2 linked regions of the Kluyveromyces lactis genome follow. Each later gene encodes a partner of the first gene's protein in a complex. Links are inferred from orthologs where the notes say so. Each region holds a gene or a part of one and is shown in the gene's direction. Other genes may lie near its edges.

The links. Proteins that work in one complex are often made in the same cells at the same time.
Region 2: SWI4 (region 1) and SWI6 share a complex: the UniProt entries of both Saccharomyces cerevisiae proteins name them as parts of the transcription complex. The link is inferred for Kluyveromyces lactis from reciprocal best matches to the Saccharomyces cerevisiae genes SWI4 and SWI6.

What each region holds. Positions count from the first base shown.
Region 1 is NC_006041.1:1,852,397-1,856,503, reverse strand, and holds SWI4 (SBF complex DNA-binding subunit SWI4), read left to right. Parts: upstream 1-1,180; coding exon 1,181-3,982; downstream 3,983-4,107. Other genes in the region: U6 snRNA complex subunit LSM4, read right to left, coding at 1-117. UniProt on the Saccharomyces cerevisiae protein: Part of a complex involved in cell-cycle-dependent transcription. SWI4 and SWI6 are required for formation of the cell-cycle box factor-DNA complex. The repeated element in the upstream region of HO (5'-CACGAAAA-3') is called the cell cycle box (CCB).
Region 2 is NC_006039.1:143,015-147,054, forward strand, and holds SWI6 (transcriptional regulator SWI6), read left to right. Parts: upstream 1-1,292; coding exon 1,293-3,518; downstream 3,519-4,040. Other genes in the region: VTA1 (Vta1p), read right to left, coding at 106-1,020; TOS4 (Tos4p), read right to left, coding at 3,725-4,040. UniProt on the Saccharomyces cerevisiae protein: Part of a complex involved in cell-cycle-dependent transcription. SWI4 and SWI6 are required for formation of the cell-cycle box factor-DNA complex. The repeated element in the upstream region of HO (5'-CACGAAAA-3') is called the cell cycle box (CCB).

The sequences.
Region 1 (4,107 bases):
TGTCAAGTTCATCCAATTGTCTACATCAGATAGCGTACCTTCCACAGTTTCTCCATTTTTTAGTTCAACATGCATTGTTTGACCCTTTGCATTGGTCAATAAATATAATGGAAGCATTTTATGTTATAACTTATTGATCTGTTTTACCAATTATAGTGTGCCCGTGCTGTCGTATTTCTTTAGGTATCTCAAACCGTAGTAACTTAATCGTAGGAAAGGGTGGGGCCGGAACAATATACAATATACCAAAAAATTAGGACTCTGTCTGTCTGGAGAAGGAAAAATGTGAGGGAAAAAAGTATGAATTAGACTTTGTTGCTTATCTGCGTATCTGTAGTTTGAGTTATGTAACACTCCCTAGTAGGACGAACCAAATGCATACAATTGCATTGACAATATTTAAATTCCAATTACAATATAACTTCAGTTTTTCCAAATTTCATTGAGCTGGAAAAAGCATTCTCGACATTTCATAAAATTCATTTACCGGGTAACACTTAAAAGTTTCGAATCACGTGAGTGTCCCGGGTAATACTGACACGTGAATATAATCTGATTATTGATTTTTCTCTTATTTTTTCACTTTTAAGACTGTTTCTGCCCCCCTACTCCTTCGTGTCATACGGACCCTTCTAGGCGTTTTGAAAGGTTGCCTCAGCTTTGAATATGGGAACACACTGGAGTGAGGTTTGAAATGTGAGATCTGAGATTTTTTTTTTGGTGAGGCATCTAATCTTTCTTTTCCCAATTGGGTAAAGAGATTTGATCACAGTTTAAAATAAAGATTATAATCTTTTGAAAGCAGACTTTCTCACGCACTTTACAATGTCATTTATGATTTGTGTATACCTTTGTTATTAACAGTGTCTGTAGGCTACGTGAACTTAGCTAAATATCAGAGCATTCCAGTTGAGATTGATTTGGTCTGCTACTCCGATATCTGGATACATTTTTGGGCACTGGTGGAAAAGCTAGAATAACCGTAACTGCGTGGTATATTTTACGTTGAATTTTACAAAGTGAGCGAGCTTGAGATCACATTGCCAGGAGCAGAAGCAGAAGCAGCAGCAGAAGGTGACACTCGACTCGAAACGCTTTGTTGACTCTGGCGTGCTTTTCTTTGCTTTGTTTTGTCTAAAACAATTAGGATTTCGTGTGCATTTATTTCTTTCGTGTAATTATGGAACAACACTTGTCGCATCATAGCGGCAACGTTTTTGACAAGGAATCTATCCTTCAAATGCACATGGGCACTCATCATCATTCTGAGAATGATACACTTTTGAAACCGTTCAATTCTAATTTATTAGGAGCTAATAGTGGTGCTACCAATAATTCTTCTTCATCCACGGGAGCATCCTCTTCGATGATCGATGAAAGGCAGATCGATGGGAGTTTAAAGAAAATCAGTGAGGAACCTACTATGGCGGAGACAAGTGGTTATGACAGCGAATCGGAAACTTTCATTGAAGTTGCTACATACGCGGGCGTTGATGTATATGAATGTTATACCAAAGATAAACCTCCATGCCTTATCATGAGAAGATGCAACGATAATTGGTTGAACATAACGCAAGTTTTCAAAGCCGGTTCGTTTACAAAGGCTCAGAGAACCAAGATCTTGGAGAAAGAGGCCAATGAAATTAAACATGAAAAGATTCAGGGTGGTTATGGACGATTCCAGGGGACCTGGATACCCTGGGAATCGACTAAATATCTGGTGGAAAAATACAATATTAACAATAAGGTTGTCAAAAGGATTGTAGAATTTATTCCTGATCCAAATGATATGCCTCCTAGAAGATCAAAAGTATCTCAGATCAAGAAATTGGACCCGAATGCAAGGATTACATCACCATCAGCTTATAAGAAAACACCAAAGAAGAATGCAAAGACCCCAATGAAGAAAAAATCTATAAGGAGATCTGGGAAAAAGGATAAACCAGTTCAACCGTCCCCCTTACACAATGTTATGTTTCAAACACCTCAACAGCAACATCATCATCAGAGTCAAAATAGTAACCAAAGTACTGAAAAGCTTCCTAATTTGGCTTCTGAACAAGATACTCCAATGGTACCGGTCAGTAAGGTGAATCCTGATATTATTTCTCAAGCAAACCATCCAATCAAATACCAAACTACTCAGAAACCTTTGCAATTTTATCCATACCCACAAACACACCAGTTCCAACAAATGGTACCTGTTACAAACAACGTGGCTCCAGTGCCAGTCAACTCTAACATGAAATCTCAGCATAACATGAAAATACTAAAACAAATGACGCAGGGCAATGCTGGCAGTAATAATATGGGGCATTCTTCTGGGTCTATGATCTCAAACGTTACATCCACAGGATCCTCAATGGAAGTTTTCTCCTCCAACGATAAAGCTTCGTCTAGCTCATCAGAATCACCAACTCCACTCTCATCAGCTCATGATAAGAACGGTGTGTCCACAGAATATTATAAGGAACTCATTTTGGAGGTTTTATCTTCAGAATACGATTCCGTGGAACCTACGCTACCCGAAGCACTTTATAGGCCTCCATCCAATTTGGACATAAACTTCTTAATCGATGACCAAGGACATACGTCTTTACATTGGGCTGTCGCTATGTCAAACATTCCATTGATTAGAGTACTACTAGTCCAAGACGCAGATCTTCTCCGTTGTAATGATAAGGGCTTCAATTGTTTGACAAAATCAGTCTTTTACAACAATTGTTACAAAGCCGTTTCTTTCCAACAAATAATATCTATGTTAAATCCATGTCTAGTAACACCAGATGCAAATCATAGATTACCCTTGCACTACCTAGTCGAGCTGACAGTAAACAGGTCCAAAGAACCTCATGTCATAGAGTATTATATGGACACTATATTGGATACACTTGCCAAGGAGGATGAGAAACTGCTGCGAATGTCACTCAATCACCAAGATACATTGGGAAATACCCCTTTACATTTAGCAGCCCTCAATAAGAACGTTGATTTATGCCAGAAATTAGTATATTTCGGCGCGTCACCAGATATTCTTAACGGTGAAAATCAGACAGTATCTATGATACTGTCTCGTTTCACAGTTCCAAATATATTTCAACCAACGCTTCCTGCCCAGATTCTACAATCTCCACCCAAGACAACTTTCTTGGCGAACACTCCTCGAAACAGTCAAGAAGAGCGTATAGATGACACCAGCAAATACGACTTCAATGACACCACAGTGGATAGTATACAGACTTCAACTAGGAAAAACAACATAGTCGACCGTAACGATGTCTTATCAATTGATAAAATGAAAGGATCCTTAACTCCAGCAATTAAATTGCATCCACCATCTCCACCAACATTAGTGAAGCCTGTGAACAGATTACGTAGACCTGATGCTCAAAGAGTACGAAAAGAACAAAAATCATCATCTCCAACCATCAAGTCTACTGCTCAGTTGGGTTCTCTTACTCAATCTTTGAGCAACATAATTGAAGATAATCTTGATAATCTTCAATATAGTATACAGCTGAAAGAAGAGCAAATCCAAGAGATCGAGAACCAACTGAAGCACACCAACGCAAGAGAAAAGGCACTCTCCGATTCAAATAATAGAAATACGTTGGGATCCGCCCAAAATCAGCTGAAGATGAAAAACATTGAATTGGATAACTATATGGAGCGGTCGCAAGCGCTGTCACTTGCTACATTAGTACAGGATGAGGAAAACTGTCTCTCAAAGGACTCATCTACGGAAGCTACTAATGAATTCGAAAAGAAAGAATCCATAAAATTGATGGTAGAATTGTGTTACAAGCAGTTCAAGAGAAGACAAATGATTAGGAATATCAAATACGCTAGAGATCAACTGGTTTCAGATAGTAAAATATCAAAGTTCAGAAAACTTATTGGTATGTCCATAGACAATATCGATTCTAAGTTGAATGACATCGAGATGGACCTAAGCTCTATGGAAAAGACTCAGTCTCGCTAAGGACTTCTAACTTTTAATGACTTTTATTTACGCATACGGTGCACGTATAAAATGCACACGGCCCATTACTTAGACTTTACCTTTATAAGATTCATCTTAAATATCATAACTTACGAAACAAAAAG
Region 2 (4,040 bases), on another chromosome or scaffold:
TAATTGAGTTAATAATGATATAGATGCAAATACGATAATTATAGAATCTCTGACATTGTTCATAACTGAGGCAAAAATGCAGAAATGATCAGACGCATTGGAATATTATTCAGGCGTCAAGTCTTCAAGCAACTTAAAAGCTTGCAGTAACTCGGCTTTTGCAGTTACTATGTCGTCATAGTTTAGAGCGCTTATTGCATACTTAGCACTTCGTTGTGCTTTTTGAATCCTGTGCTCCCTTGACATTATTTCTTTCAAAGTAGCAACATCATGTCTCACTGCCGGTTTAGGTGATTCTAATTTGATCGGTTCTGGCGTTAGCAACTTTATTGGAACTTCTGGCGACTCAAGCTGCTTTAACTTCTCAACGGATTCATCTACCTTCAAAGAGGGAGACGGACCATGCTGCTGTGCTATTTCCGAATCTTTTGGCTCTTCGAATAGCGGCTGATCCTCTAGATCCTCGACAAAATTTGGGATTTCATCTTCCACTTCGCTTAGTGGGTTACTATTTGTAGGTTCTGATGTGGTTTCTTGGGGCTTCTTGTCGCTTTGTAATTGTCCCCTTTTCAATTTCATAAGATAGTATTTGGAATGTTTGATCCTTTTATCGCATTGCTCTTTTACAATGGCATCCATACTATCCGCCCATATATGTTTACAGCATTGAAACAAATCTATACAGCACCATAGCCCCTTTCCTATATCGTCATTAATCCTATCATCTTGTATTTGTACTAAGATTCCGTTATAGATTGACATCGCAAGATTTAACACAAAAGCCAATGCTTTGTCTTTTTCATTCAACAGGATCTTAGTACCTTCATCATTCACCTCATTTTTAAAGCTCTCTACATCGTCTAATAATGACATGACCAACTCTGTCGCTTCCCCGTCTCGCTCCTTCTCATTCAATATTAGCTCTGCCGCATATAGTTTTAAGTAGTAAGATATAACAGGAAGAGTTGACAATTCTTTAGAGAGTTTAATGACTCTCTTGTACTGCGCTACATTGCTCATAATGTATCAAGTATAGTGAACGAAAGTCTTTTGGGCTGTATGAGCACGTCTCAGTCCCCTGGATACCTCATTCATTCCCTATCCCAATATGTCGATATTATGATAATATAATATACAAACGCCAAATGGAGAAAATTTATTGATTTTTGAATGTTAACCAAATTATGAACATCGTACTAATTTCACAATTGAGAACTCTAAACAACGAACAACGTTGACTGTACTAGTAATTGTTCTGGGATCCTTCACAATTTAACGGTATAAAGTGGACGATGAGCAGGCCTATTTTTAAGGTGCATAAGGGAGACCGTATTACTTTCCAGCAGCGACTTCAAGACGGATATGTCTGTCTGGACCAATTTATCCCTTTGTTGACCAACTTATCAAGTTTCAATTTCCATCGCGATGACCCATTGGTTGAGAATCTCGATGATATGGTCACTTCTCAATTCAATATACTTATAGACACTGATAGGTCTGGCACCCGATGGATCACTTTACAAAAAGCACATGAGTTATGGGATTTGCTGCAAATTAAAGATGATTCTGGTTCGGAAAATTTGACGGACCATGACGATGATAATGAAGCTAATCACAATGGCGTTGAAGACGATGGTCAGAAGACTCCTGAGAATAATGGTAGAAAGACGGACAACCACACAATGGAGAATGGTGGTACTGAAAATACAAATAACGGAAACAACAGCTCGAATAAAAATGATGGGAATGTTACTGCCGAAGGAAGTAATTTCAGGCCTGCAACAATTACAAATGGAACCACTTCTAGAATCAGTGGTGGTGAGCCAGACACTGTTAAACATGAGCTTCTAGATCTTCCCGATTCTCCTACGAAGAGGCATCAAACCAAATCTGTTTCAAAGATCCCGGTTTTCCAACATGATTTACCTACGGTCTCTACGTTACAGAAAACTCTGCCTCCAGTTAGTAATTACTCAAATGATGAACGTGCGAAGTTAGAGACCTTACTTCAGCGTATTCTTTTCCCCGAAACTACGAATTTGAACGTTGCAGAAGGTTACCCATCGGTCAGCTTAACCCAGCAGGTACAAGAACTGGACACACAATTCCCAAACGTTCCACTAAATTTTAACATCCCAATTGATGAACATGGAAACACTTCCTTGCATTGGCTGTGTTCCATAGCCAATCTAGACCTTCTCAAACAGCTCATTGTCTTTGGCAGTGATAGAAGAATCGGCGATAAGTCCGGTGAATCAGTGCTTGTAAAATCTGTGAAGTCGGTAAACAATTACGATTCTGGTACATTCGAGATACTGTTGGACTACTTGTACCCTTGTATCGTAATGGTTGATGACATGGATAGAACCGTTCTTCATCATATTGTGATTACTTCTGGTATGCCTGGTTGTAATGCAGCGGCTAAGTATTACCTCGATATTTTGATGGGTTGGATAGTTAAAAAGCAAAGCAGAACTAAAGAATCGCATTGCGTGCTACTAGAAGATATCGATCTTCAATGGGTTATCACTCATTTACTCAATGCTAGAGATTCTAATGGTGATACCTGTTTAAATATTGCCGCCAGGCTTGGAAACGTTGCCATTGTCGAAGCATTGTTGGATTATGGTGCTGATCCTAATATTGCAAACAATTCCGGATTGTGCCCTGTGGATTTTGGTGCAGGTACTCAACCCCGTTTTCAATCGAATACAAAAAATCTTATGGCCACACCTACCAAAACTCATGAAACTTCGTTGGATCCGATGGCTGAGTCTACATCGTTAATCACAAATATAAAATCACTCCTCTCAAAAATATCGAATGATTATGGTGATGAAATTAAACAACATAATGGGAAGATGAAGGAGCTCCTCGATACACTCAACATAAAGAGAGAAGCGTTGGCTAATGCACGGGATAGATTGGCTAAGGCAAAGCAAATCCAAGATGAATATAATCTGTTGTCCGACAGACTGAACAATGTGGAAAACACTATCGCTGAAGAAGATCAAAATTTCCAACTTGCTTCTAGAGAATTAGGACTATCACTGGATGATGTCCAAGAAGAAGGTCTGAACTCAGCCGATATTGCATTCGATGCTGATGAGCCTTTCAGAATCTCTTACGTTTACACAAAGTTTGAGGAAAAGATCAAAGACGAATATAACAATGATTTTGAACTATTCCTCAAACATTGCAATTTATCACAACTTGTTCATGAAATATACGATAACTTCCCTTCCAGAGCAGAAATCCCACATCCCAAAATTCTTAAAGCAAGAATCAAAGCGTACAATAGAAACGAATTGCATTTAGACTCAACTTTACAGACTATCAAAGACAAGCAGAAGAATTTAGAATCTAAATTCAGAAAAGTCTTGTCTCTCTGCTTGAAGATAGATGAAGAGAAGGTTGACTCAATGCTTGACGGTCTTTTGCAAGCTATATCTAATGAAGATCCTGAAGATATAGATACAGACGAGGTGAACAACTTTTTAGAGAGTGCCGCCGAATAAATACCAATTGATGGTAACCTATTTGGAAATAACTCTTGTTGTACTTTTATTTCTAACTAAACAGTTTACGCAAGCTGTTGTAATTTTAGTGGACTTTTACCTATAAAATACGATGAACCTTTTTTTTCTATTACATTTATTGCCTATGTATATATTTGTTTCTTCGACGCCTTGTGTTAAAAAGCAAGTCGAGCAGAATTTTTAGATTATTTAGTTGGTTTCTTCCAGAAATACTGTTTATGCACTCTCCTGCATGATCTTAAACCAGATCTGCCACCCTTGAGTGATGCTACCAGCTGTCTTCTGTCATCGTCAGGATCATTTTCTGCATCATAGTAGTATTCTTCATCCAGTGGCTTTCCTGCGGCATCTTTTCCTGTACGGTAAATTACTCCGATACATTGTTCGTCATTCAAAATAGCGCGCAGTTCTGTGCGGCTTAACTTCGAGACAACAGAGTTAACATCCTGCAATTGAAAGAGTGGCACTTGTTGAATGTTAGAGAATGCTAAGTGATTGGAC